7 linked regions of the Oryctolagus cuniculus genome follow. The protein of the gene in region 1 binds, or shares a complex with, the protein of each later gene. Links are inferred from orthologs where the notes say so. Each region holds a gene or a part of one and is shown in the gene's direction. Other genes may lie near its edges.

Region 1 (4,288 bases):
TATCTTCAAGCATCCTCCGGAACAGAATTCACAAACGCACTTCCCTGCATCCATCCCTCGGCTTTGACCACATCTCTCCTATTCATTCTGAAAGCAAGAGGCTCTTAACCCCGTCAGGCCAGCGCGCACAGCTCCCTAAATTTCCTCATTATTGTCCTACTGGTATTTTAGGTTTAACTGTGTAACCCACGACAGCCTGCTTGCACGGATGTCCCTCCCGGCTCAGGGGCTCTCAACAGGATTGACTTTGCTCACCAGGGGTGGGGGCTTGTCCGTGGGCAGAGGCCAGGGAGACCACTACACCGCCTGCAACTCACAGGTGAGACCCCTCTCCCAACAATTAAGAACCACCCGGCTCAAAGTGTCCACGGTGCTGCTGTGGGGGACCCTGTCTCTGCACAGCCCCCCCACCCCGCACAGGTGACGGGGGCTTAGCCGGCTTAACTTGCCTCTTACAAGTAAACTCCAGCTCAGTCCCAAGTCCTCTCCTCCCTGTAACCTACTCGCCGCACCGTCCCCCAACTTAAACTCGAACCCATCATTTTACAGAGAGGGAAATGGGGCCCAGAGAGGGAAAGGGGTTTGCCCAAGGTCACACAGTGCACAGCAGCGCTGGGACCCGAGTCCTGAGACCCAGCCTGGGCTCCCCCAGTGGGCTCTGGTCCACGGACAGCCCAGAAGGTCACCCCTAGAGACAGGTCCTGGGGCCTCGAGGCCAGCTGCCGTCCCGCTGTTCGCTGGGACAACCCGACCGGGCACCGGTCTCCGCAGGGTCACCCCAGGGCGCCAGGCAAAGGAGCGGGCCAGGGAGAAAGCAGGAGGAGGGAGTGCGGCTCCAGTTGCACGTGCTCCCTGCCCGGGTCGGGGCGCCCACGCTGGGGTCGTCCCAGGAAGCCAGGGGCGAGGAAAAGGGGTGCAAAGCTTCAGCGCGGACTGGAGAGAGAACAGCACGGCCGGGACTTCCCCGTGCTCCTTCGGGGCTCGCCCTGCCCGCCTCCCACACGCGGGTGCCCAGACGCAACCCCTAACTCCGCGCCCTCTGACCCTCGACCCCTGCCCTCTCCCTCGGCCAAGCCCTTGCATCCCTGGGATTCTTACACGCGCCGCCCCAGCAACCCGGACCGCGCACCGGGGTCCGCACCGTGCAGCCCAGCCCGCCGGCGCCGCCACCAAAGCGCCGAGCCCGGAGCTGTTGCAGGGGCCGCAGCTGCCGCCACTTCAGCCGCTGCCACCACGGCAGCTGCGCCAGCTCTCCCTTCCACCGCCTACCGTCCCTTCAACCCCGCCGGCCCCGCCCCATTCCTCCTCCGCTGCGGCCTACTGGCTACCTGGGCTGCCATGCTGAGTTCTGATTGGCCAGGCGTCACGTCCTTCCTCAGTTCTCGTTTGCTGCCCAAGCAAGACTGCCTGCCCGCCTCCTTAAAAAGGGGCGGGACTAAGAAGCTCCGCCCTTTCCCACCCGCCCCGCTTTATTCACTCAGCCCAACCCAGAGAAAGTCCCAGGTCTTTCAATTGGCGGAACAGCAGCGAGGCGTTGCTTCTGATTGGTCAGACCTCAAGAGGTGGGGCTCACGGACCAAAACAAGAAATTGAATGGTAAAAAGCAAAGTCAGTCAGACTCCGAGGCCCGCCCCCTGAGACTGACAGGTAACCTAGCAACGCGGGCACCGCCGCTGTAACTGCAGAGAAAGGTGGAACCCCTCGGAACCGGTGAGTAACCGGGGTCCGCCCTGAGGTCTGGGACGCCGAGGAAAGTGGGTTAGGGGCTAGTCCGCGCCCCTCAGCTCCCTGAGGAATAAGTAGCCCCGTCGCCTCGCCGTCCCGGCTCCGGGCCTCGGGCTGGACCTCGCTTTCCACCGCCGCGGGGGCCACAGGGCAGCCCCCTGTGGGCTCTGCCCGCTTCGCGGCCCCACTCCCACCCGAAACGGGGGACCCCGTCGGCTCCCCGTCTTAGCTGGCTTCCCCCGGTCAGACCCGGCGCTGGGGGTGAGCGCGGCTCCGCCCAGCAGCCCGGGGCCTTTGGGGTCGTCTGGGTCCGCACTCGCTCCGGAGTCTGACTCGCATCTCCGTCCTAGAGCGGGGGCTGGCTGTGCACTCGGGCAAGTGTGGAGCCGCAGAGGTTAGCTGTGTGTCAAGCGGAGTAAGCGCTCAGTGACGGGGCTGGCGCCGGGCTGGGCAGCACAGCAGGTGCTCAGCGAGTATTATTATTATTTTTTTCTAAAATACATCCAGCCTTGACTTTTCCCTCTTAACATGGCTCCCAGGGTGTTCTGTTTCCCACCTTAAGTATTTATGAATTCAACAAGTGTTAACCAAGTGCCTGCCGTGGTACTGCGGTCAGAGGGATAAGCAGAATGACCGGCACTCCTGCCCGCTGGGAGCGTGTGGCCTAGGATGGGAGACAGTCACGGGAGAAATAATCCACTGGCAAGTGTGAAATTACACCCCAGGGGACTTCCAGAAGGTGGGGTGGAGGCAGGAGAGGGGGGTGGTGCGGCACGGGCAGAGTTACAGTCTGGGCGGTGAAGACGGTTCTGGGGATGGAAGCGTGTGAGTGGGGGTGTAACGGCCTTCAAGGTTACTAAAATAAAGGGCAGGGTTTGGAGCAGTGGGGGAGAAGCCCCCGGAGTCGCCTGCGTCCCTTGTCAGGACGCCTGCTCCCTGCTAGTGCACATCTCAGGAGGCAGCAGGTGACGGTGCCGGTGTTTGGTTCCTGACACCCACCTGGGAGACCTGGGTGCAGTTCTGGGCTCCTGGCTTCAGCCTGACCCAGCTGTGTTCAGTGTGGGCATGGGGAGCGAACTAGGAGATGGAAGGAATCTCTCTCTCCCTCTCTCTCTCTCTCTCTCTCTTTTCAAATACAATGGAAAAAAAGATAACATTTATGTTTATTTTATCACAATTTTATCAAGATTTGTTTTTATTTATTTGAAGGGCAGAGTAACAGAGAGAGGGGAAGAGACAGAGGAAAAAGGTCTTCCGTCGGCTGGTTCACTTTCCAAATGGCCTCATCAGCTGGAGCAGGGCCAGGCTGAAGCCAGGAGCCTGGAACCCCATCTGGGTCTCCCAGGTGGGCGGCAGAGGCCCAAGCACTCGAGGCGTCTTCCGCTGCTCTCCCAATCACATTAGCAGGAAATGGAAAGACAAATTGTGGATGTCCCATGCGATGCTCTTAAGCGATCAAATACGGAAAACGGGCTACAGTGCGGGTGAACCTCAAAAACTGTGTGCTCTTCAGGATTTCTCAATCTCAGCCCTACTGACATTTGGGACAGATAATTGTCTCTTTTGAGGCACTGTCTTGCAAACTGTAGGATGCTTAGCAGTGTCTCTGGCCCCTACCCCCTGGATACCAGCAGTACCCTCTCCAAGGTGTGGAAAGCAAACGTACTCTGGATTATTTCCAGATACCCCCTGGAACATAAAATCACTCCTGGTTCAAAACCATTGTGCTAAGCAAAAAGCCACAAAAGATTCCATACCATATGACTTCACTTATATAGAATAGCCAGATAAATGAAGTGTGGGTGGCACCAGACATTGCAAATTAGTTCATGGGAATTGGGGGAGTGAGGGGAATGTTCTAAAGCTGATTCGTAGGGATGTGGCATAACTGTAAGTCTGCACTGTCCCCTTGCAGTGGGTAGATTAGACCTCAACAGGTGTGTGCCATAAATATGATGCAAGGAACGGGCAGAGGGTTTGCAGGGCTTGGCGTGTGCTCTCTGTCCTCGGCTGCGGAGGAGCTGCCATTGAGCCGAGACCTAAGGAGTGAGAAGTTCCCAGTCTGGGCCTGGGGATCGGTCTCTGGTCAAAGGAACATCAAATGTGGAGGTCCTGGAGCCAGGGCGGTCAGTCGAAGCCAGAGTGGCCACAGCTCAGGGGCTGTGAGCGGCAGACTTTGAGACAGGCGGCTTCTCCTCGCTCAGCCCCTACTCCTGTTCCCCCCTCCACACCATCTCACTGGCACCCACACCACCAAAGTAGGCCTCCGCCTGAACTCTGTCCTCTCCCTCATCCCACGGACTTTACCTACCCTGTGCATCTCTGTCTGGCCACTGCCTTGTCCCCGATGAGGCCACCCGCATCTCCATGGACGACCGTGACAAGCTACACCGTGACAAGCACCTGCCATGCTCCCCTCCCCCGCCACACACACTCTCTCTCAAGCTACAAAGCTGCCCATGTCATTGCTTCAAACCCCTCTGGGACCTGTCACTTCCCTCTCCGAGCAGTGAGGGGAACTATGATGGCTAAATGTCCTAAGTCGGTCTAATTAGGGGGCCTG
Region 2 (3,521 bases), on another chromosome or scaffold:
TTCAGCCCGGCCCAGCCCTGACTGTTGTAGGCATTTGGGGGAGTGAACCAGTGGATGAAAGACCTCTTCCTGTCTGTCACTCTCTGTGTATGTGTGTTTCTCTGCCTTTCAAATAAAATGAAAGTAAAGACATTTCTAAACAGGAAAAAGAGAGCATCTGGCACACAGCAATGATGGTGATTTGCTGTTCAGTTTATTACTATCGAAAAAAGCTGACGGCTCCTTGCTACGGTTTCATGTGTCCATATAGAAAACACACTGTGCATCTTTGGCTGCTTTTTTTATTCACATCCACTCCTCCACCCCTGCTAATTATTACCCTTACTTCACAGAGGCAGCATCTGACATTCAGAGAGGCTCAGTAATTCGTCCAGGGCCACACAGCGAGTCGGTGGGATTTGCACTTGGACCTGCTCCCCTGAGCACCACTCCATACTACCTCTCTTGGCAAATGCCCACTGACATCCTGCAAAGTAGCACCTCTGCTGTCTTCCCCTTGCTGCAGGTCCCCGCTTGCATCAAGGACCCAGGGGTCTGAGACGCTTCCTGTCACAAGGTCAGCGAGGGGCTTCCTGCCTCTACCCTGCCAGCCGCCAGCATGCAGGACCCCACGACGCTAGGCTCCAGCCAGTCCTCTGTCTCCACCCAGGAGCGGCACTCCGCCGCCGACCAACCTCTACCCTCCACGCCCCAGGCCTCAAAGCCCTTAGCCATGACCCTCCCTGCCAAGTCCAAGGCTCCCAATTTCCGTCGCATGCGCCGGGTCATTGCTGAAGATGCTGAGTGGACACTGGCCATCGTGCCTCTCCTCACGGAGCTCTGCATCCAGCACATCGTCAGGAACTTCCACAGTGAGTGTCCCTGCTCAGTGGGAGGAGCCCACCAGGGCTGGGGCAGGTGGGTGGGGACGGCCCGGCGCCGAGGCCTCAGCAGCCGGCACCAGGGACATCCTCAGACCCACTCCACACTTCCCTTCCGCTCAGGGCCAAGACAGCTCCTCCTGCCATGCCCACTGCCAGAGCCCACTGCACCCTCCATGCTGATGCCCTCAGCTAGCTGGGGCCAAGCCAACACCAAGAGCCAGGAGTTTTTTCTAGGTCTCCCACGCAGGTGCAGGGGCACAAGCACTTGGGCCAACGTCCACTGCTTTCCCAGGCCATAGCAGAGAGCTGGATTGGAAGGGGAGCAGCCAGGACACGAACCAGCGCCCACGTGGGATGTTGGCACTGCAGACAGCAGCCTTACCCACTAAGCCACAGTGCCGGCCCCCACAGCAGGGTTCTTTTTTGCTTGTTTGTTGTCTGCCTCCCTCCTCACTAGAATGAAAAAACTTGGAAGGAGACTCTCCGTTTTGTTTTTTGTTTTTTTTTTTTTCATTCTTAGAGCTCTAGCAATAGTGTCCTGTGCATGGTAGGTACTCACAAAAATAATTATTTTGAACAAAGAGATCAAATTAGATTGGGAGCCTCCCAGGTCTGAGGTCGTCTCCTCCATCAGACTAGCTGATAACTGACCATTGGTCCCGCGTCTCAGACTGGGAGCTCCCTGAAACCAGACACCGATCTGTCCACCATCAGGCAGGGAGCACCCCAAAGCCAGGGGCCATGTCCCCTCTTCAGCCTGGGGCTCCCTGAGAGCAGAAGCTGGCTGAGTTCTCAGACAGGAACTCCCCGGGGGGTACAGGAGGACCTTCCCTCTCCTCAGTGACCCCAGACAGGTGCAGCCCAGGGCGCTGTGTGAGCCCCCATCTCCTCCCTCTGTTCCCAAAGATAACCCGATCCTGAAGCAGCTGCTCCCGGAGCACCAGCAGAAGGTCCTGAGCCACCTGTCCCCTGACCTGCCACTCGCTGTGACCGCTAACCTCATCGACCACGAGAGCTACTGGCAGCGCTGTTGCATGCAGCGCTGGCCGGTGTGCCACGTGGCCAAGCACGGCGGCAGCTGGAAGCGCATGTTCTTCGAGCGGTACCTGGAGAGCCTCCTGAAGCACTTCATCCCAGGCACCACGGACCCGGCCGTGATCCTCGACCTGCTGCCGCTCTGCCGCAACTACGTGCGCAGGATCCAGGTGGATCAGTTCCTGCCGCCTGTGCGGCTCCCGCTCCCGCCTCGCACTGGGGACCAGTCGGACTCAGGCAGCGAGGGAGAGACGGAGGAACCCGTCATGGACCACTACCAGCTGGGGGAGCTGGTGGCTGGCCTGAGCCACCTGGAGGAGTTGGACTTGGTATACGGGGTCAAGGACTGTGGCATGAACTTTGAGTGGAACCTCTTCCTCTTCACCTACCATGACTGCCAATCCTTGGCAGCCACCATCAAGGCGTGCCACACCCTCAAGGTACCGTTGGCCCCCAGCTGCCCTTCAGTCCCTTCTCAGCATCTCTGGGATTCCCTCCATTGCCATCTTCTTTCTCCCATCACCTTCCTCACTGACAGAGGTGTGTGTGTGTGTGTGTGTGTGTGTGTGTGTGTGTGTTTAATGCATCCTGCACCGAGCCAGCAAGTTCTGGGGCTGCTGACCTAAACAAGGCACTGCCCCCCATCTCAGCAGCCTGAGATTAGTCATGGAGCTACCATCTGCATTCCAGGCCCTGTCCTAGGTGCTGAAGACACAACAAGCCACAAAATTATGCCATTTGTGCCTCTGGAGCTGACGAGCTGGTGGGATGAATGGCGCTAATCAGCGATGATATAAATGTACAGTTGCAGCTAGAATATGATCGCCAGATTTAGCAAATAGAAGTGCAAGACACCCAGTTAAATTTGAATCTCAGGAGCAGGCGCGTGACCTAGTGGTTAAGATACTGCTTGGGATGCCCACACACACCATCATGGGGTGCCTGAGTTCAATGCCTGGCTCTGGCTCTTGATTCTAGCTTCCTGTTCATGTGTACCTTGGGAGGCAGCAGACTATGGTTCCTCCTTGATTTGGCAAGATAGAGGTCCCTGCACTGGGGGCCGTTGCGTGGAGTGCCAGGAGCCACAGTTTATGGGGCAAGCGGAGAGTAAGGGATGTGGTGACTGTGATCAGCTTTTTCAAGAACTTGGCTGTTGGGCCGGTGTTGTGCCTCAGTGGGTTAAGCTGCCACCTGCGATGTCAGCATCCCATATGAGTGTTGGTTTGAGTTCCTGCTGCTCCAATTCCAAACCAGCTCCCTGGTAAAGCAGTGGAAGATGGCCCAAGTACTTGGGCCCCTTCTATGCATGTGAGAGACCCAGGTGAAGTCTCTGGCTCTTGGCTTTGGCCCAGCCCAGCCCTGGCCAATTGGGGAGTAAACCAGCAGATGGAACCTCTCTCTCTCTTTCGTCTCTCTCTCTAACTTGCTTGTGTTTGCCACCAAGGCGAGGCTCCATCCAGCTGCAAGAAAGCGATTGGTGATAGCAGGGAGATCAGGGACAGTTCTGAGAAGGCAGGAAGGGTGGGATCTAGGACCGAGATGGCCCCAGGCAGGGGGAGAGGGAAAGCAGGGTGGCAGTGGGTCTGTGTTTGCTATCAGGAAAATGAGGGATTCCCCTTCCAT
Region 3 (4,087 bases), on another chromosome or scaffold:
CGGGACCGCTCGCAGCTCTACAGGGGGAAGGGGCCCGTCGAGCCAAGGCTTCTGAAGAAAGGCTGAAGCAGAGGTTGCAAGAGTTGGAGGCTGAACTGGAAGAGGCCCGCAGCGAGGGGAAGGCCGTATATGCAGGTGCGTGGTCGGTTCAGCAGCTGGGCAGGACACAAGGGCCTGGGAGAAGATAAGAGGGGCTTCTGACTGCCGGGCCCGGTCTCAGCCTTCCCTGCGTAGCACAAAGCAGGCAACTCCTGGTGGATGCAAGGAGGCCTCTGGGCTCGCAGGCAGGGACCTTCCAGGGTGCCTGGGGCCAGTGTCAGTGCCAGCTGCACTGGGGGACACAGGACGCAGTCCCAGCCACTGTTTCATTCACTCAGCAGCAGTGAGCGGGCAGATGGGCTGGGGCCCTGATCCTAAGCCGGAGTGGGGAGGCGGCCTGGTGTCCTTCCCTTTCCCCAGGTGTCCAGGGTCTCCCAGCATCCCAGGATCACAGGAACTGAGCAGTTCCTTGGGCTCCTGTCTCCTGGACCACACAGTTCCTTCCCGCCCCCAACTCCTTGCCTTTCTCCATCCCTCCTCCATCCCTGGCCGTCCACCGTCCTCCCTCCAGAGATGAGTCGCCGGTGCAGGGCCCTGCAGGAGCAGATGGAGAGACGCAGCAAGCAGCTGGAGGAGGAAGTGAGGGGTCTCCGCAAGCAGCTGGGTAGGTGCCCCGCCCTGCCCTGGGCCTTTCCTCTCCAAGGGAGGCTGACAAGATCCAGGTTCAGTGCGGGGGCAAACTTAGGTCTTCTCCTAGAAGGCTGCCATCGTCTTCCCCTCCCCCAACCTTGGCTCCCGCAGTGAGGATCAGGCAGAGGTGAGGACAGCATGCAGCTCACTAGGCTAATCCTCCGCCTGGGGCGCTGGCACCCCGGGTTCTAGTCCCGGTTGCACCTTTTCCAGTCCAGCTCCCTGCTGCGGCCCAGGAAGGCAGTGGAAGATGGCCCAGGTCCTTGGGCCATGCACCCACATGGGAGACCAGGAGGAAGTACCCTGCTCCTGGCTTCGGATCCGCGCAGCGCACAGGCCGTAGCAGCCTTTTCGGGGGTGAACCAACGGGAGGAAGACCTTTCTCTCTGTCTCTCTCTCTCTGTCACTGTCTAACTCTGCCTGTCAAAAAATAACAATAAAAATAAAAATAAAAATAAAAAAAGACCCTTTAGGGCAAAGTAAGGAAGAGGCACACCTCGCCCTATCCCCCCTTGCCTGGAATCTCCAGACCCAGCTGTCACCTCACTCCCTGCCACTGCCACGTCTCTCCAGGGCATATCAGAGCACATCAAAATACTCATGGAAAAATGGAATTACAGGATAAGCTTAGGTGCAAGAAACATTGAAAATCTATGCATTTTTTAAAAGATTTATTTATTTATTTGAAAGGCAGAGTTACAGAGAGAGAAAGAGAAACAGAGACACAGAGATCTTCCATCTGCTGGTTCACTCCCCAAATGGCTGCAATGGCCTGTGCTGGGCCAGGCCAAAACCAGGAGCCTAGAATTTCATCTGGTCTCCCACATGGGTGGCAGGGGCCCAAGTACACGGGCCATCTTCCAAAACCTTCCCAGACACATTAGCAGGAAGTTGGACCAAAGGTGGAAGAACCAGGACTTGAGCCAATGCTCCCATGTGGGATGTGGGTATTACAAGTGGTGCCTTAATCCACAGCACCATAATGCTGGCCATTATTTCCAGTCATATTTCCTTCTAACTTTCTGAAATATTCTTCATCTCCCTTCTCAGGTTAGCTAATTTTTACAATGAAACTAAGGGAAAATGTTAGGCTTCTTAACTTCTATATCTCTAAGGCCTACCACCTGGTAGATCCTTTTTCCTAAATAAGTGGATAAACTCTCTATATAAGCAAAAATATAAAAGCCAGGAAGCCTTTGCTTCTCTTCCCTCTTGCTTCTTGGCCCAGTCCTGGCTGTTGCAGCCATTGGGGAAGTGAACCAGAGGATGGAAGACCTCTTTCTCTTTCTCTTTCTCTTTCTCTCTTTCTCTTTCTCTTTCTCTCTTTCTCTTTCTCTCTTCTCTTCTCTTCTCTTCTCTTCTCTTCTCTTCTCTTCTCTTCTCTTCTCTCTCTTCTCTTCCTTCTCTCTCTCTCTCAATATAAAAAATTATTTATTTGAAAGACAGAAAGGAGAGTTCTTCCATCCACTGGTTCACTTCCCAAATGGCTACAACAGCCAGGACTGGGACTGGCTGAAGCCAGGAGCCAGGAACTCCATCCAAGTTTTCCAAGGGCCCAAGCACCTGGGCCATCTTCTTCTGCCTTCCCAGGTGCGTTAGCGGGGAGCTGGATCAGAAGTGGGACAGCTGGGACTCAAACTGGCACCCTGGTGTGGGACGCCAGTGTCACAGTGGTGGCTTAACCCACCACACCACAACTCTGGCCCCTCATTTGCCCTTTAAGATGAAGAAACTGGGGTAGGTGTTTGGTGTAGCAATTAAGATGCTGACTGGGTGGCCCACATGTCATTTTGAAGCTCCAAGGTTTGAGTCACAGCTCCACTCCTGCTACTGTGCACCCCAGGAGGCAGCAGCTGATGGCTCAAGTAGTTGGATTCCTGCCACTCACGTCAGACACATGGATTAAGTTCCTGACTTCAGTTGCAAGCATTTGGGGAGTGAACCAGCAGAGAGGAGCCATGGTGTGTGTGTGTGTGTGTGTGTGTGTGTGTGTGTGTGTGTGTGTGCAAGTGCCCACAGATGCCTCTCAAATAAAGAAGAAACTGGGGTTTAGGGAGACATGCGTGAGCTTACACGAACAGTGACAACCAGACTTAGCCCCCAGCTCCTCTCCAAGCTCACTACTCATAAACCTCAATGGACCTTCAGCTCTTTGCAGGGACTATGAGGAGGTCGCTGACCTGGGCGGAGTCTGAAATGAACACACTCAGAGCCTCCTTTTCAGGTGCCTTTGGAGACTGTGCAAGCACCAAATTCACCGTCCTGTCCTCTCCCATCCTCTGCTCTGCTCCCCAGAGACTTGCCAGAGGGAGGCTGTGGCTGCACAGGGGGAGGCAGCGAGGGCCCTCGGAGAGCGGGACCACACCTTGGCTCAGCTTCGGGCCCACGTGGCCAGCATGGAAGCCAAGTACGAGGACATCTTACACGTGAGCACCCCGCCACCTCCACGAGCCCCACAGGGTGATGACTGACAACCCGGGGGGAAGAGAAGAAAGGGACTCCAAGGGACCCCTGCTCTGTCCCTAGCACAGGCAGAGGGAGTTCCACGGTGCCCACTCCCTTAGACCAGGAAGAATGCTGGCAGGGAGAGCTCACAAGGCAGCCGCCCTCTCTTCCTGGGGACTGGGAGCTTGGTATCCGCAGGGCAGCCTGGACCGGCTCCTGGCCAAGCTGAGGGCCACCCAGCCCCAGTGGGACGAGGCCGCACTGCGACTCCACGCCAGACACAAGGAGCAGCTGCGCCAGCTTGGACTCAACCCCCTGGATCTTTGAAGCTGCCAGCCTCTGGGCTCTGGGACCCTCTGAGACCCCAGAAATAAAATATCCTGAAGGAGAACTCAGCTGAACCGTGGGCTGTGGCCTTTTGTCATAAAGGAGTGGCTTCCGTGGGGACACCTCTGTTCTGAGCATCCCGTCCCTTGATCCACAAGGCTGAGTGATGAGAGAGAAAACCGGCAAAGTCCCACCCCTTCTCCTACAGAAACTGGAGCCCAGCCCCCGAGCCTGGGACCTCCAGCTCCCTTTAAACCACTGCCCCATATCTCCACCAACAAAAACACAGGCAGTCCGATTTATGGGGAAAGGCCATTTAAATAACAGACACACAGCGTCCAGGGGCCAGCCCCCCCAGCCCGAAGGTGCCCACTCAGGGAGGGGGTTGCTGGGTCTCCCAATTCTTGGACCCAGAGAGTCCCAGAGTGGCACCTAGGTCAAGTCCCAGAGGGCTTCCAGCCCAGCCAGCCCCACAGCACCCCCTTCTCAGGCAGAACTTAGTCCTCGGGGTGCAGCCATCTACAGCCACCGAGGGACATCCCCCGGCACCTGAGGCCCCCGAGGCCTCTGCCCCAGCCCTTCTGCT
Region 4 (3,521 bases), on another chromosome or scaffold:
GCAAACTTCCCATTTGGGGTTGCTGCGAGGGACGGCAAGGAGTTCGCAGGTTGGAGAGTGGGCATTTTAGGCAGAGAGAACACTTGGGCAGAGTCACGACACCCCATGATGTTCTCGTGAGAGTGAAAACGTGTGGGGGTGATGGTGGAAGAAGAGAGGGGAGGCTGGGAAGGTGGCCGGGCAGTCCTGGCTTTAAGTTGATCAGAGTCAGGTACAAATGTGGCAGCGTGTGCCTCGAAGGTAGAGGGACTGTGGATAGCAGCCTCCCAGCCTTAGCAGTCTGTAGCTGGTGACTGTATTTTTCAAACTTCCCGCTGCCTGTCTGGACTGCACCAGGAGCTGAATTAGCTGATCCCTAGCAGGCGTCGAATTTTTTTTTTTTTAAAGGAAGAGTTACAGAAAGGCCGAGGCCAAGAGAGAGAGAGAGAGAGAGAGAGAGAGAGAGAGAGAGGTCTTCCATCTACTGGCTCACTCCCCAGATGGCTGCAATGGCCAGAGCTGTGCTGATCCGAAGCCAGGAGGCAAATGCTTCTTCTGGGTCTCCCACGTGAGTGCAGGAGCCCAAGGACTTGGGCCATCTTCTACTGCTTTCCCAGGCCACAGCAGAGAGCTGGATCGGAAGTGGAGCAGCCAGGACGTGAACTGGCGCCCATGTGGGATGCTGGTACTGGTGGCAGCTTTGCTCATTATGCCATAGTGCCAACCCCAACATTTTTTTAAAAGATTTTTTTTCATTTATTTGAGAGGCAGAGTTACAGAGAGAGACAGAGACAGAGACAGAGTAGTATTCCTTCTGCTGGTTCAGTCCCTAAATGGCCACAACGGGCAGAGCTGGGCCGATCTGAAGCCAGGAAACCCGATGGAGCTTCTTCCGAGTCTCTCACGTGGGTGCAGGGGCCCAAGCACTTGGGCCATCTTCTGTTGCTTTCCCAGGCCATTAGGGAGCTGGATCGGAAGTGGAGCAGCCGGGACTTGAACTGGTGCCCATATGGGATGCCAGCATCGCAGGTGGAGCTTAGCCCACTGTGCCACAGCGCTGGCCCCAAGGGCCAATGTGTGAAAGGCCCTGAATGTCCTGCTTAGGAATCAGGCTTCATCCCACAGACGCTGAGGGAAGATGGAAGCAAGGGTTGCAAGCAAGTTCAGTGTGTGTTAGAGACACCCTGGGGCTGGCTTTGTGGCACAGCAGGTCAAGTTGTCACCTGCAGTGCTGGCGTCCCTTAGCAGCGCTGGTTCGAGTCCCAGCTGCTCCACTTCTACTGCCGCTCCCTGCAGCAGCAGGAACGCAGCAGCAGATGGCCCGGATGCTTGGGCCCCTGCCACCCACGTGGGAAACCTGGATGGAGTTCCAGGCTCCTGGCTTTGGCCTGGCCCAGCCCTGGCCACTGTGGCCACTTAGGGAGTGAACCAGTGAATAGAAGATCTCTCTCTGTCACTCTGTCTTTCAGATAAAAGGAAGAAGAAAAGTGATCTGACAGCTCTTTTCTCATTTCTTAAAAGAAAAATGTTCGTTAGATTCTAATGTTCAGGATGTCTGCTAGCTTAGAAGGCAGAGTAGGGGATGGAAGGGGACGGGGTTGGGGGAGAGCCCCACGGGATGTTTGTGACTCCTGGGCTCTTGTCTGTGGTGGTCCTGCAGGAGAGAGTCTGGCATGTCCTGGACGGGGGGTCCCCGGGCAGGGGGCTCCCGTCTCAGCTCCAGCGCCTGCCTTCAGTCGTGTTCCAGCCTTGGTGGATTCATTGCATGCCCCCATTTTACAGATGAGGAGAGTGAGGCTGGAGGAGGTTAAGCAACTTGTGTGTGATTGACAGTCAGCAGCCAGGTCAGGACTGGGGCACGGCCTACCTGACTCCAGGCCCATCAGGAGAACGCGACTGGTTGACTTTTTCTAATTTTTAAAATGCATGTAAGGGGAGCAGAGCTCATGTGTGACTGACGCCTGTCCATGCGTGTGTGGTGTGTGTGTAAGTATGTGGAGTGTCACTCTGCTTCCTTGCTTTAAGTTGCTGAAACCGAAGGAAGATTCCCCCGCGGGTGGTTCGGTGTGGGCCGCTGCCCTCGGCCTGCCCTGTGCTGTGAACTCCAGAGGAGCTGGCTGGTTTGTCTTGCAGGATCGAGAAGCTGGAGAACGAAGTGAAGACCAGCCAGGACAAATTTGATGAAATCACGTCCAAGTGGGAGGAGGGCAAGCAGAAGAGAATTCCCCAGGACCTGTGGGAGGTGCTCAACACTCAGCAGCTGCACTGTGCCGGGCTGATCGAGGACAAGAACAAGCTGATCAGCGAGCTGCAGCAGGCGAGAGGCGCCCCACCCCGTCCTGGCCGAGCGGGGTCTGCCTGGGGCGTCTCGCCGGCTTGCTCCCCCCCCACCCCGATGGAACCAGCAACACTGCACACAACTCAAGTTCAAGTCCTTAGTTGTTTCTCCTTGTCGAGTGTGCCGTGTGCACTGCAGTGATCCTGCAGCCCTGGGACTCCGTAGTCCCCTCTGTCCCCCTGCTTCTGTGAGCTGGGCTTCAGTCGTAGCTTCGCAGGACGCGTTTGTCCTTTGTGGAGTGGCGTGATGTCTTTGAGGTCCCCCTGGGCTGCAGCCCGTGGCAGGGTCAGCTTCTTGCTTAGGCTGTGGAATATTCCATCCTGTGTGTGTGCTGCATTTTCTTTATCTGCTCATCTGTGAGGGGCATTCTGGGTTGCTCTCACCTTGTCTGTTGTGAGTGGTGGTGCCCTGAACATGGGAATACCCGTTTCACGTTGAGGTCCCGCTCTGGGTTCCTTTGGGATTGCTGGATCATTGCTAATTCTACTGTTAATTTGTCTGGGAAACTCCATAGCGCTGTCTGTGGTAGCACACAGCGCACTAACTGCGGGCGTCCTGGCCAGCACTTGCTGTAGGCTGCTGTCCTCATGGTGGCCACGTTGGTGGGTGTGAGCTGGTGTCTCACAGCGCCTCTAATGTGCATTTCCCTAATCAGTGGAGATGTTCTGCAGCTTATGTGCTTACTGGCCATGTATATCTCTTCCTTGGAGAAATGTCTGTTTAAATTCTTCAGCCATTTTTGGGTGGGTTATTTCTTGCTGTTGTGGAATTACATCTTCTGGGTACCAACCTCCCACCAGGTGTGAGTTCACTCTTTCCCTCTGTTGCCTTGGTACCATCTTTGCTGTCTGGATACACAGAAGTGTCTGAGTTTGGTGCGGTTCCATTTCTCCATTGATTTTGTTGCCTGTGTTTTTGGTATCATAGCCAAGAAATCATTGTCACATCCCATGTCCTGAGGCTGGCGCCGTGGCTCACTTGGCTAATCCTCCGCCTGTGGCGCCGGCACCCCGGGTTCTAGTCCCGGTTGGGGCACCGGGTACTAGTCCTGGTTGCTCCTCTTCCAGGCCTGCTCTCTGCTGTGGCCCAGGAAGGCAGTGGAGGATGGCCCAAGTACTTGGGCCCTGCACCTGTATGGGAGACTGGGAGGAAGCACCCGGCTCCTGGCGGCCATTAGGGGCGTGAACCAACGGAAGGAAGACCT
Region 5 (4,131 bases), on another chromosome or scaffold:
GCGTCTTTCAGAGGCTCGTGGCCAACGGCCCCTCACGGGCGGGCCCCAGGGGCCGACGCTGGGCGCGAATTTAATCCGGTCGTGCTGGGCCCTCGGGTGCTCACTGGTCCTCGCGCCCCGCACTCCGCGCGGGAGGCAGCCGCACGCACCCTGCCGGAAACGCCCCGGCCCCGGCCCGCGCGCGGTCTCGCGAGGATTCCCGCGAGGATTCCCGGGGCGCGCGCTCGCCCGGCGTTGCCGGGAGACGGCGCAGCCGCGGCGGCGGCTCGTTCGCGTGGAGTTCGCGGCTGGGCCGGTCAGCGGCGCCATGGTGAGGACTGGCGGGAGTCGGGGCCCGGGTCCGCGCCGCGGGGTCTGGGCCCGGCGTCGGCGGTGCCGGCCGCGGGCGTCCCAGCGAAGGCGGCCCCGGGTCTGAGGTGCCGGCCTCGCGTTTGCGGGGGATCCCGGCGCGCCTGTGGGACCCGCGCTGTCCCGCGTCCTGCGCTCGCTGGGGTGTTCCTCGCGCCCGCCCCGCCCGCCCGGCTTGCACGGTGTGCAGACTCGAACGCCTGGGTGGCGGGGCGTCGCCTCGCAGGGGCTGCGGCGCGCGAGGACCTCCGGGCGCTGGGGCGCTGGGGCGCTGGGCGCTCAGAGCGTGCGGGGCCCGTGTCCAGGCGCTCCGGGAGCCGCGGCTGGCCCCGCAGCGGGCCGCGAAGTGGCGCCGAATCTTCCTCCAAAGCCCTGCGGGTGGGGGGTACGCGGACGGCCCGGTACCTTAGGAGTTACGGTGCTAGTTGCTAGTCTTGAAAAGCAACGGGGGAACATCAAAATAAGCTTGCGGGAATGTGGGCGGTTTTCTTTCTCTCGAATCTGCATGTGACATTTGCAGTAAGTCTTGCAAGTGCGTGGCATGGAGGGTGGTTGGGAGTAAGAGAGGCAGGATAGGGTTTGAAAGTTCAGTCCGGCCCGAGCCTGGGCGCCCTGGGCTGGGGAAGAAGCCTTGCTCTCAGCCCGGTCGTGATCACTCGCAGTGGGTGCCGTCTGCCCAGGCTGTCTAGATGCGGGTTCTCGGTGGAGTTTCATATTCGGGAAAAGGAACCCCCAGATGGCCAGGACTGATGGTTTTCCCTACGTCTGCCTGCGGTGGTTACCGGGCATTATGGCCGACCCGGTCACATCAGCGAGGGACTAGGGGTCTTCCTTTATGAGCATATACCAAGGGGTGAGTGGGTGTGCAATGGGTGCCTGCCTTTTGGAAGGAGAGCCCGTTCCTCTCTGGCCTCGCCATGTGTGCCGAAGGGTAATCGTGTGGCTGAGGCGCAGGGCAGATGAACACGCTCCGTGAGTGCTCTTCCGGGCACCCCAAGGCCCTGGACAGAGAGGGGCACGTTCTGCAGCGGGGACTCGAGCCCAGCCGGCCCAGGGGGAAGGCCGATTGGCGGTCACCCTACGTGGTCACCCCACGTAACCGTCAACAAAGATGGAAGCAACCTTCTCTTCTGTAAACAAGGCTCCCAAAAGGAAAGGGAAGAAGGGCAAGGCCAAGGGCACCCCGATCGTCGATGGACTCGCGCCGGAGGACATGAGCAAGGAGCAGGTGAGCTTCCCGAGCCCGTCTGCCGCCCCTGTGCCCACGTGTGCCCACAGCTCTCCAGCGCGTTGCGTGTCTGCTCGCGTGCCGCGCAGCCGCCTGCAGCCGTGTTCTAACAGGGTGGTAGGAATGTGGAAAGACATGGTGTCCTGGTAGGAAAGCTGTTTTCCGGGGTTGGTGTTTGGCCTGGTGGTTAGGACACCGTGTCCCTTATCCGAGGACCTGGGGCTGGTGCCCGCCCTGGGTCCTGACTTCAGATTCCTGCAGTGCAGAGGCTGGGAAGCAGCAGCGATGGGTGCGGTGACTGGGCCCCTGTTTCTGACGTCCAGCTTTGGCCTGGCCCTGTCCGGGCTGATGTGGACGTTGGAGACTGAGCCAGTGGATGGGAGCACTCTCTCTCTCAGATAATTAAAAAATGAAAATATTTTTAAATGCTATTTTTGTAACCCTTTCAGGTAGCTGGTGTTTGTAGAACTGTTCCCATAGCACATACATGCAGCGCATTCTCTTTTATTTTATTTCCTATTAAGCACTATAGCAAAAAGAAAGTCTTTAAGCAGAACGTGACTTACTTCAATCACATTGTCTGAGTCTGATTAATCATTCTTTTTTTAAAAGATTTATTTATTTGAAAGAATTGGGGGGTAGGGAGAGAGAGAGAGAGTGTGTGTGAAGAGAGAGAGATCTTCCATCTGCTCATTCTCTCCCCAAATGGCCACAACCAGGGCTGGACCAGGCCAAAGTCAGGAGCTGGAGCTTCCTCCGGATCTCCCACGTGGGTGCAGGGCCCGAGCACTTGGGCCATCCTCCGCTGCTTTCCCAGGCCATTAGCAGGGAGCTGGATCCTACGATGAGCAGCCAGGACTCAAACCCATGACCACGTGGGCAGAAGCTTCCCCCGCACCACAGCGCTGGTCCCTCGTGCTTGTTTTTACAAACGTTCCAACAAGGAGGAACAGTGTCCGGCTGCCTTCGTTGTGGCCTTCTTATTTGGGGCATGGGGTGATGTCTGTAGTTACTTTGAGACATTTTAAGCTGCTTGTCCATTTTGGTGTAAAGGGCTAGAGAACATCATGATGTCATTAAAATCTCACTTCCGATTGGGACACGTGGCAAACGCGGTGTGTCCTGTGGCATCCGTGTTGGCGGGACGCCCCCCCGTGAGTGTCTCTGGGGCCTGAGGGTGCTGTGTGAACTCAGGTGGCAGGGTTAATAAGCCCGAATATGAAGGAGCTGAAGTGCGAAGGGGTGCTCCAGGGATGTGCGGGAAGACCACGCAGTGCCGGCAGAGGTGTGGTGTGGGCGGGTCCGTTAGGCTGGCGGGGGAGCGTGGGTGCACGGGCGTTGCAGCGACCCTTGTGCTGCTGTCTGCTCCCTGTGGAGGTAGAGCTGCCGCGGCAGCAGGCCTGACACAGGCCTGGTTTACGGCACGTTGTGCAGTCCAGGAGTGAGGACAGGGACTGGCATCACCTGGACACGCGTGCCCCTCTGCTGAGGACATGTGCGCAGTCTATTGGATTCTAGTGCTGTTTTCTAATTTTTCAGGAGAAGCTAGAAATCTGGATATTTATAAGAAATCTAAGTGTTGATTGATGACGAGATCTAACTCTGTGTGAGCCACACAGAGCAGCTAGGTACCCTGGTTTAACTGTTTGTTCTGTGACCTGGTGACACGTGCCATTTTGCTGCAGCATTTGTGAGATTCTGGGGTGGCATCCTCCCTCAGAGGCCTTTGCCCTGCCGAAGTCCTCTGTGCTGCGCCCCCTTTTCTCTTCAAGTAAGACGTAGTGGTTTCCCTCGGGGACAAGGTTTTAGGAGAGAACAAACTTTACAGAAAGTGACCTGTGGCTATACCTGAAAGAGAACTAAGTCTTTATTTTTTTTTTTTTAGAGATTTATTCTATTTATTTGCAAGAGTTACAGAGAGAGAGAAAGAGATATATCAATATGAATATCAATCTTCCATCCACTGGTTCACTCCCCCAAATGGTTGCAATGGTCAGAGCTGAGCCGATCTGAAGCCAGGAGCTTCTTCTGGGTCTCCCACATGGGTGCAGGGGCTCAAGTACTTGGGCCTTCCTCCACTGCTTTCCCAGGCCACAGCAGAGAGCTGGATCCGAAGAGGAGCAGCCAGGACTTGAACCATTGCCCTTATGGGATGCTGGTGCTGCAGGTGGAGAATTAACCTGTGCCACGGCGCCAGCCCTATAACTAAGTCTTAAGTGGAATGAGATGCCAGGAAAGCTGAAGCCTGTCCTACTTTTTTTTTTTTTTTTTTTTTTTTGACCTATTTGTAGTTTTGCAATAGGCTGTGGGCCAAACCCTCTTGTGTTAGGAACCTTCTGGTTCTCTGTGCTTTTACTGACATTGTGCCTTGAAAAGTGAATGTTCTTTCACTTAATGTTATTTTGTGAACATGTTTACATGCTTCTTCTAATTTACTTTTATTTATCTGCTTAGTTTTGCTATTATAATACTGCTGAGGCTAAATATCTTTGAGCCAGAAGCTCTTGTGTTTCTTTTGAGAAGTTTCCTCAGTATGAATTCCCAGGAGTGGAAGG
Region 6 (4,116 bases), on another chromosome or scaffold:
ACAGCCAAGAGCCAGGAACTTCATCCGGGTCTCCCAGGTGAGTGGTAGGGACCCAGGTATTTGAGCCATCACCTGCTGCCTCCCAGGGCACGCTGAGCAGGAAGCTGGATTAGAAGCAGAGTAGTGCATAGAGGAACCAGGTATGCCTGCCTGGGAGGCGGGTGTCCCAAGAAACCCCCGCCCACATTTTATTTTTAACCACTTCCCTAACAGTTTCCAGGGCCTGAACTTTCTCTCCAGAACATTTAGCAAACCTAGGATTCCCGACAGCAACCTCATCCCAGTCTTGTCCGCCGGGAGGGTGCATGCCTCGAGAGCAGACAACACACACGCATCCACACGCACGCACCAAGCTGTGAGGGGCTGGACCACCGCGACTTCCAGGCCCCTCTCCCCTCATAGGCGCCACGGCGGGTGCCTTCTCCCGGGGGTGCTGCACGTGGCTCTGGGCCCCCGCAGGGGCCAGGGGAATCCCTCCAGACCGCCACGGCCCCGGCGCAAGCTTTCAAGTGAGGCCCGGGCAGCACCAAACTCTCCACGGGTGGCCAATTTTCCATCCCGGGGCTGAGAACAAAGGCGTGGAGACCAGGGAGGTAGCTCAGGCCTGCACACCCACCAAGGCCAGGCACAGCCGCCCCCCTCGCCCCCGGCTTCCCCACCGCGCCAGCCCGTCCCCTCCTCCCGGCCGACTCCTCGGTTTGTCTCCCTCCCCGCCTCAGGGGCGCTGCATGGACCCCCGCACCCCGTGGCCTCACCAGCTGATCCCGAGCGGCGCGGCCCCAGCCCGCGGCCACCGCGCCGCCGGCCCCGCGTCAGCAAGTAAATGCCGTAGCAGGCGCCGGCCCCCAGGACCAGGCCCGCCGCCACCCAGCTCGCGTGCCGGACACCGATCATGCCGCCGCTGGGACAAGGCTGGTGGAGGCCTGCAGCGTGCGCGGGGCCTGACGCCACCGGAGCGCAGCTGAGCTGAGGGAGGAAACAGCGGCCCGAGCTCCGCCTCCCGGAAGCCGCCCCGCTAACACCGTAAAACCACCCACTCCGGGTCCCCCGAGGCTGCCTCCCGGCGGGCTGGGCACCAGACTCTGGCTGGTGCTGCACGGGCCTCGCGCCTTCAGGGGAGCCCTGCCCGCCGCCCCGAGGCGGGGTTCGGTTCCCGCCGGCACGCGAGACCGCCGCCCCGGCCCTGCCCCCCGCGCCTCTCCGGTTTCCAGGGCAACGCCGGGACGCGCTCCGCCCCTGTCCGTGGCGCGGCGCCTCCCGCGCCGGGCGCTGTGAGTCCGCGGGCCGCAGCTCCCGGGTCAGGCCCGCGACCATGGCCTCCCTCCGCACCGCCAGCCCCACGGTGAGGAACTACTTCAAGGAGAATTACATTCCTCAGGTTTGCGAGGTACTGGAGCCACGTGGCGGCGGACACGCATCCTTTGTGGGGAGGGGAGGAGGCAGGGGGGACCGGAGGGGTCAACGGTGGGCGGGGAGGGAGGCGCGCCGTTGGGAGTAGGTGGTGAGTTATTTGAGCTAGTCCGAGGTCTGGGCAGAGGTATGTATCCAAGAGAGGGGGGCGGTGATGATGGCTGAAAGGCGAGAGGGGGTGACAGCTCTCAGAAACACGGCACCCTCGCTGTCGTCACTGCTGCCAAGCCCGGTCATTTATTTTTTTTTAGCCATAGCTGGTCATTTTAAAAATACAATCATAGATGTGCAACATGCCCCCGTCTGTGCCAACGTAATAAAGAGGTGTGTCTGCAGTCGGCTGCGCTGTTTTTCTTTGGTCTGTCCGAATCTGCAGCCGAGCTCCTGAGTTAACACTTGGGGTAGTCTGCGGGATTCGTCTCAGGCCCCTGTGGAGCGTTCTTCCCCGCCAGAGGACGGGATTCAGGGGTGGCAGTGGCCTTGTCTGCCTGGGCGACCCCCCTGCCCCAGGAGTGGGCCAAAGTGGATGGTGCGCCCGTTAGTATAGAAAAGGCATTGCATGGCCGGCGCCGCGGCTCACTAGGCTAATCCTCCGCCTGCGGCGCCGGCACCGGGGGTTCTAGTCCCGGTCGGGGCGCCGGATTCTGTCCCGGTTGCTCCTCTTCCAGGCCAGCTCTCTGCTATGGCCCGGGAAGGCAGTGGAGGATGGCCCAAGTGCTTGGGCCCTGCACCCGCATGGGAGACCAAGAGGGAGCATCTGGCTTCTGGCTTCCGATCCGCGCAGTGCGCCGGCTGTGGTGGCCATTTAGGAGGTGAACCAACGGAAAAAGGAAGACCTTTCTCTCTGTCTCCTAACTCTGTCAAAAAAAAAAATAATAATAAAATTGAAAAAATAAAAAAAGAAAAGACATTGCATGGGCTTGGGGAGACCTTAGAGAAGGATGCCTGGGCAGTGGCAGGGGCCATACGGTGGGTCTTTCTGGTGGAAACCACTGCTAGGTTATAGGGCATTCCTTGGAGAATGAGGAGACAGGCAAATCGAAAGGTGAGGGAAGATGGCATTCTGGCCCTGGAAATCGAGGTTGCTGTCCTCCAAGCCACACCTGACTCTGGAGATAAACCGGTGGTGGTGGTGGTGGTGGTGGTCATGTCCTGGATGACGAATATGATGCTGAGTCTCTGATGCTGTTCAAGGCCTGCCTAGTTGTCACCCAAAAAATTAAGACTCAGCAATGGAAGGTTCCACAGGGACAGCTGCAGCCCTCCCACCCCCACCCCCCAGGTGGTGGAGCCTTCAGTATTCTGCCTGTATACTCAGGTGGAAATACTGGATCTGGAGTCTACAGTTAGGCAGAAGGCCTCTGAATCCATTGCAGCTTGGCTGCTCCAACTATGGGATGTAAGGGTGGATGCACCCGTCATATGGCAGGACACCCGCCCTTGTAGACTGGATTCTGGTGGGAGCCCACATGGTATGGCTTAATGCCTGGGGCCATCAGCAGGTGGCAGATGTACGCTGAACTACAGCAGGTGTTGCAAAAGTTGGGAATGTGGAATACTGGGACGTAAGGGCCAGATAAAGAAGTTTTTATTGCAGGGATGGACTTGGGCTGCAGACTGTTCCCTTTGCCCTGTCTGGCCTCCTGGTGGTGATTCTAGCCACCCATTGGATAGCCTATTGCTATGATTACCTGTATCATTGCTTATCTGGGGGAGGCAGAAAAGGTGCACACTCAGAAGGCGGAGTGGGCCACAACTAGAGAAGAAAGAAGGCAAAGAACCAATCAGGGTCACTTGAACCCAGATGTGGGTCGATTTTCTGGCAGCAGAGACAGACGGGGAAAAATTAGCCGGGAAGGCTAATTTGATTTATGGCAACAATGAAAACTGCAATGATAGTTTCAGCCATCAAGGAAGCCCAGTTTGAGTACAGCATCCAAGTGGAGGCTGAACAGGATGGTAACAGGGTTTTCTTTCCTTTTTATTTATTTTTTTTGTATGTGAAAGATTTATTTATTTATTTGAAAAACAGAATTACAGAGAGAGAGCGAGAGCAAGAGCGAGATCTTCTGTCTACTGGTTTACTCCCCAAATGCTGCAATGGCTAGAGCTGGACCTATCCAAAGCTAGGAACCAGGAGCTTCTTCCAGGTCTCCCACTTGGGTGCAGGGGCCCAGGGACTTCCTTTCCCAGGTGTATTAACAGAGAGCTGGATTGGAAGTGGAGCAGCAGGGACTCTAACCAGGTCCACGTGGGTGCACACCACACTGATCCGAAGCCAGGAGCCAGGTGCTTCTCCTGCTCTCCCATGCAGGTGCAGGGCCCAAGGACCTGGGCCATCCTTCACTGCCTTCCTGGGCCACAGCAGAGAGCTGGACTGGAAGAGGAGCAACCGGGACTAGAACCCCGGGTGCCAGCGCCACAGGCGGAGGATTAGCCTATTGAGCTGCGGCACCGGCCTTTTTTTTTTTTTCTTAAAGATTTATTTATTTATTTATTTATTTGAAAGGCAGAGTTGGAGAGAGCGAGAGTTTACAGGATTTCTAAGTGACCCTGAGCCGTCTGAAGTGACTAACAACTGGACTTCTCAGTTCAGTTATGGGCAAGGCCCAGGTACCTTCTTGGCTGAGACTTGTGGGCACCAGAGACCTCATGTAGAATTGGCTATTCACTGACTCACTTCTAATAGCCATCAGGTGCTGGCAT
Region 7 (4,114 bases), on another chromosome or scaffold:
AAAATAGGGGCCACAACAGCACTTTACCAACATCTTATTTATTCTTTTGGTAGAAAAATGAAAAATGTCAACAGCATTATAAACTTACTTCTTTGCTTTGTACACATAAGCACACCTCTTGCCCAAGTAGAATTCAGTTTCATCCCGAGCATAAACACCTTCAATTTTAAGCAGTGCCGTGTGTTCCCTTTGGTTCCGGAGACCTCGCTTATAGCCAGCAAAAATGGCCTTGCACCACAGTCTAAGACACAAGATACAGAACAGTGTATGAAAGCTGTTAAAGCATCTACAAACCACCAATATGATTTGACCCCAATGACTCCCGCCTACTTCGGTCATGTCCGATTTCACTATGAGTATCTATAGCATCTGATTTTCTCTTCCAGCATTTCGTGCTCTTTTAAGCCCATGTCTAACACAGAAACTACAAAGCGAGAACATTAGAAACACGTACCTTCCAGACATAGCTGCCTTCTAGAAGTCCTGCTCCCTGCAGGCCTTAAAAAAAAAAAAAAAAAGACTCAGTTTAAAGCCGTGCCATGCCAATTTCCCACCTTGTCGTCCGTTTCTTAAGCCTGCTGTGTCCTTTTTGATCGGCACTCCACCTGGCATGGGGGGGAACCTTAATTATGCTATAAGGTCTATACGAAAAGCAGTCCGTCAAGACTTGCAAACTTCAGAATGGCTGTTACCTAATCAAACTCCAAAGACAGATAAGCCAGGGCAACACACGGAAAGAGCCAATTCCTATAAACTTCAAGAGGAAACCCCCAAAAAAGAAACGAAAACTCAGGAAAGAATGCAGTTAAGCGCAGGGAAAAAACTTCTATGAATCGGCTTAGGACAGAAGAGCTGCGGAGATTACAGGCAAAAACATGTTTGGAGTAGAAGCAAATTGAAAAGGCCCAACGTTAAGCCGCTCACGCGCCAACTTCAGACCGACAGAGTGCATCTATTTCACATCGCTTGAGCCCAGGAACCAAGTCCCATTACCGGGGCACCAGGTCTCCGGGCGCGAGGGGACCTGCACCATCAGCCCCCCATCTCTTCCATCCCGTCCTCCCTCTTCCTGGAAACCATAGCAATCACTGGCTGGCAGGGCCTCAGAGCCGCACCAGACCCTCGTCAAGGTATATAGGTGAACCCAACCCGGTTATTTGCCTCCAAAGTTCAGCAGCAAACGCTCCACTCACCTCCACAGGCTCCAAGATGGCGGAAAGAGGAAGACGAGGCCCCGCCGCGTGGCCTTGTGGGATAAATACCTCCCCGCCCCGCCCCAAATTTAGGCATCTTCCGCGATCGCCAGAAAAACAAGCAGCAGAAATCATCTTGGGACTGAAGTGAACTACATTCAAGAGAACTTTTACAAATTCCTTTTCTAGGTCTTTCTATCTTTCTAAGCTGCAGTATGTATCATTTGGGAACAGCGGCGGGCAAGAAGACAGCCAGCTAAAGGAAGGGGGGGAAGGTCCCCAAACTCGTGTCGCCATAGAAACAGGTCCGCTTGGTTCTCGGGTACGCGGATTCCGTAGGTGGAAAGGCGAAGACGTTGCTCTGCCTCAGGTGCCTAATGCCGGGGTTCCTTTCCCATCTATGACACGGGAGTAGGGCGAACGGAGACTCGCGTCCTACCCGAGTCTGGAAGAAAAAGGCCGGGATCGCGAAGGCAGGAGCTCTCCCTTCTCTTCACCTATGTTTTTACTTCTCTCCCCCTCTACTCCTTTATCTCTTGAGAAATGGCTAAGTCCTTACTTCTAATTGCAGCCTTCGTTTTGACTGAGGGGGTAAGGAGGCCTGCTCTGCCTGGGCCTTTATAGGAGAATGTTTGAGCTTCCCGCTAGAAGCTCAGGGTGGCCAGCGCCGCGCCCACGCGTGGTAAATCCTGGGTAGAAACTACAGTGGATGGATTAGTGGACAGCAGAGATTTAAGCTGCCTAACTTTTGCACATTTATCTGAGTTGCCCTGCGGATTCTTTGATTATTTAGCCAGTAGTTTACTGAATGACTACCGCTTACCAACATTTATTGTAGGTTTGGAGGGTACTGCAGCAAACCAACCAACCAGAAATCTCTGGGCGAGACCATGCGTCTGCATATGAGCCATTCGAGGGTAATACTTCCATGGAGAAAAATTCAACAGGCCACCATAGGAAGGCTTTTTGCCCTCCCATCTGAGGTTTCTGAAGATGGAGAGTGACTCTAGCTGATACTTTTTTTTTTACCAGGATTCAACTGTGTTGACAAGGAACACAAGGGCGCCCGGGAGGCTGCTGTAATGATCCTAATGAGAGATGATGGTGTGTAGACAGGGCTGTTGAGTCCTGGAGTTCCTAAGGCATTTTAAATGTAACACTGGCAAGATTGGCTGATTAGTAAGTCACATTTAAGTCAGATCCTCTCTTAGGTACAGCAGGATAGGGCTTATGTCCCTTGTAGCCACCTGCCCCATCCCTTTTTCTCTGCCACAGAAATGTACTAGAAATCCCGCTCTTAAGAGATTAATTTCTTTAAAAAAAAAAGATTTATTTATTTATTTGAAAGAGTTACACAGAGAGAGGAGAGAGAGAGAGAGAGAGGTCTTCCATCCGCTGGTTCACTCCCCAATTGGCCGCAACGGCTGGAGCTGCGCCAGTCAGAGGCCAGGAGCCAAGAGCTTCTTCTGGGTCTCCCATGTGGGTGCAGGGGCCCAAGCACTTGGGCCATCTTCTACTGCTTTCCCAGGCCGTAGCAGAGAGCTGGATCAAAGTGGAGCAGCCAGGTCTTGAACCAGTGCCCATATGGGATGCCAGTGCTTCAGACCAGGGCATTAACCCACTGCGCCACAGTGCCGGCCCCAAGAGATTAATTCCTTAAGGTTCTAAATGAAAGTCTTCCCAGGGGAGAAGCATACATGAAGTGCAAGTTTCATTCATTTCACAAATCCTTATTGAGCACAGGGGCTGAAATGTAGAATCTGTCAGCATCATTGTCATGTTTCCTGGTCTGATGGAACTTAACGGCCTAGTGGGGGAAATTTACATAAGCATTAAAAATTGTGTGGCGAGCTGTGCTTGAAAATAGAGTGCTGTGAGTGCGTGAACAGAGGGCTCCTAGTGCAGCCTGATGAGTCAGAGCAGGTATCACTCGGAGGAAATGTCATCTAAGGTGTTTTTCAAACCATGGGTGATGAGCATTAATAGATTGTGATCATAATACTACTTTTTAAAAAGGTGTATTTATTTATGTGAAAGGCAGACACACACACACACACACACACACACAGAGACACACAGGTATTCCTAATGCTGGTTCACTTCCCTAGGTCTGGCCAGGGTAAAGCCAGGAGCCAGCAATCCCATCAGGTCTCCCATGTGGAGCCCAAGTACTGGGACCATTTCCCAGGTGCATTAGCAGGAAGCTAGATTGGAAGCAGAGTAGCTGGGACTCAAACTGGCACTTGTAGTTGGGATGCTGGTGTCACAAGCCAGTGGCTTGGTCCTCTGTGCCACAATGCCAGCAAAGACGTAATTTTTGTTCATTTATTTATTTCAGAGACAGAACTCCCATCTGTTGATTCACTCCCCCAGATGCCTGCAGTGACTTGGGCTGGTCCACCTGAAACTGTGAGCCAGGAACTCACTCCATGTCTCCCACGTGGGTGGCAGGAATTCATTTAATAGGATCAGCACTGCTGCTTCCCCGGATCTATATAATAAAGCTGGAGTCAGGTGCCAGAGCCCAGTATTGAGCCCAGATGCTCAGATATGGGACACAGGTATCTTAACTGGAATCTTAACCACTAGGCAAAATCTACTGCCCGGGGTACTTTTTAAAAAATTAGTGAGATTTTGTTATTTATGTATTTACTTATTCAAAAGGCAGAGTGACAGAGAAGGAGAAACAGAGAGTTCTTCTATCTGCTTGTTCACTCCCCAAATGAACACAATAGTCAGGGCTGGGCCAGGCTGAAGCCACGAACTAGGAACTCCATCTGAATCTCCTGTGTGGGTAGTAGTTACCCAAGTATCTGGGCCATCATCTGCTGGTTGCCCAGGCACACGAGCAAGAAGCTTTATCGGAAGCAGAGCAGCTGGGACTCAAGTCCTGCCTTTTGAATGCAGGATGCTGGAGTCAC

Evidence for each region.
Region 2: IQCD (region 1) and TCTE1 share a complex: the UniProt entries of both Homo sapiens proteins name them as parts of the nexin-dynein regulatory complex. The link is inferred for Oryctolagus cuniculus from reciprocal best matches to the Homo sapiens genes DRC10 and DRC5.
Region 3: IQCD (region 1) and DRC12 share a complex: the UniProt entries of both Homo sapiens proteins name them as parts of the nexin-dynein regulatory complex. The link is inferred for Oryctolagus cuniculus from reciprocal best matches to the Homo sapiens genes DRC10 and DRC12.
Region 4: IQCD (region 1) and DRC1 share a complex: the UniProt entries of both Homo sapiens proteins name them as parts of the nexin-dynein regulatory complex. The link is inferred for Oryctolagus cuniculus from reciprocal best matches to the Homo sapiens genes DRC10 and DRC1.
Region 5: IQCD (region 1) and GAS8 share a complex: the UniProt entries of both Homo sapiens proteins name them as parts of the nexin-dynein regulatory complex. The link is inferred for Oryctolagus cuniculus from reciprocal best matches to the Homo sapiens genes DRC10 and DRC4.
Region 6: IQCD (region 1) and FBXL13 share a complex: the UniProt entries of both Homo sapiens proteins name them as parts of the nexin-dynein regulatory complex. The link is inferred for Oryctolagus cuniculus from reciprocal best matches to the Homo sapiens genes DRC10 and FBXL13.
Region 7: IQCD (region 1) and IQCG share a complex: the UniProt entries of both Homo sapiens proteins name them as parts of the nexin-dynein regulatory complex. The link is inferred for Oryctolagus cuniculus from reciprocal best matches to the Homo sapiens genes DRC10 and DRC9.

The regions. Positions count from the first base shown.
Region 1 is NC_091452.1:10,280,515-10,284,802, reverse strand, and holds the start of IQCD (dynein regulatory complex protein 10), read left to right. Parts: upstream 1-1,488; 5' UTR 1,489-1,710; intron 1,711-4,288. UniProt on the Homo sapiens protein: Component of the nexin-dynein regulatory complex (N-DRC), a key regulator of ciliary/flagellar motility which maintains the alignment and integrity of the distal axoneme and regulates microtubule sliding in motile axonemes.
Region 2 is NC_091436.1:125,847,551-125,851,071, forward strand, and holds part of TCTE1 (dynein regulatory complex subunit 5), read left to right. Parts: intron 1-332; exon of another isoform or gene 333-505; 5' UTR 506-598; coding exon 599-851; intron 852-1,769; coding exon 1,770-2,338; intron 2,339-3,521. UniProt on the Homo sapiens protein: Component of the nexin-dynein regulatory complex (N-DRC) a key regulator of ciliary/flagellar motility which maintains the alignment and integrity of the distal axoneme and regulates microtubule sliding in motile axonemes.
Region 3 is NC_091432.1:111,117,014-111,121,100, forward strand, and holds the end of DRC12 (dynein regulatory complex protein 12), read left to right. Parts: intron 1-15; coding exon 16-135; intron 136-610; coding exon 611-703; intron 704-3,024; coding exon 3,025-3,155; intron 3,156-3,372; coding exon 3,373-3,501; 3' UTR 3,502-3,569; downstream 3,570-4,087. Other genes in the region: NHERF4 (Na(+)/H(+) exchange regulatory cofactor NHE-RF4), read right to left, coding at 4,021-4,087. UniProt on the Homo sapiens protein: Component of the nexin-dynein regulatory complex (N-DRC), a key regulator of ciliary/flagellar motility which maintains the alignment and integrity of the distal axoneme and regulates microtubule sliding in motile axonemes.
Region 4 is NC_091433.1:176,406,632-176,410,152, reverse strand, and holds part of DRC1 (dynein regulatory complex protein 1), read left to right. Parts: intron 1-2,112; coding exon 2,113-2,296; intron 2,297-3,521. UniProt on the Homo sapiens protein: Component of the nexin-dynein regulatory complex (N-DRC) a key regulator of ciliary/flagellar motility which maintains the alignment and integrity of the distal axoneme and regulates microtubule sliding in motile axonemes.
Region 5 is NC_091449.1:69,565,476-69,569,606, forward strand, and holds the start of GAS8 (dynein regulatory complex subunit 4), read left to right. Parts: upstream 1-1,315; 5' UTR 1,316-1,459; coding exon 1,460-1,576; intron 1,577-4,131. UniProt on the Homo sapiens protein: Component of the nexin-dynein regulatory complex (N-DRC), a key regulator of ciliary/flagellar motility which maintains the alignment and integrity of the distal axoneme and regulates microtubule sliding in motile axonemes.
Region 6 is NC_091434.1:141,235,566-141,239,681, forward strand, and holds the start of FBXL13 (F-box and leucine-rich repeat protein 13), read left to right. Parts: upstream 1-1,312; coding exon 1,313-1,387; intron 1,388-4,116. Other genes in the region: ARMC10 (armadillo repeat-containing protein 10), read right to left, coding at 756-1,314. UniProt on the Homo sapiens protein: Substrate-recognition component of the SCF (SKP1-CUL1-F-box protein)-type E3 ubiquitin ligase complex.
Region 7 is NC_091435.1:82,116,807-82,120,920, forward strand, and holds the start of IQCG (dynein regulatory complex protein 9), read left to right. Parts: upstream 1-1,304; 5' UTR 1,305-1,666; exon of another isoform or gene 1,667-1,784; intron 1,785-2,031; exon of another isoform or gene 2,032-2,297; intron 2,298-3,531; exon of another isoform or gene 3,532-3,754; intron 3,755-4,114. Other genes in the region: RPL35A (large ribosomal subunit protein eL33), read right to left, coding at 89-241, 455-465. UniProt on the Homo sapiens protein: Component of the nexin-dynein regulatory complex (N-DRC), a key regulator of ciliary/flagellar motility which maintains the alignment and integrity of the distal axoneme and regulates microtubule sliding in motile axonemes.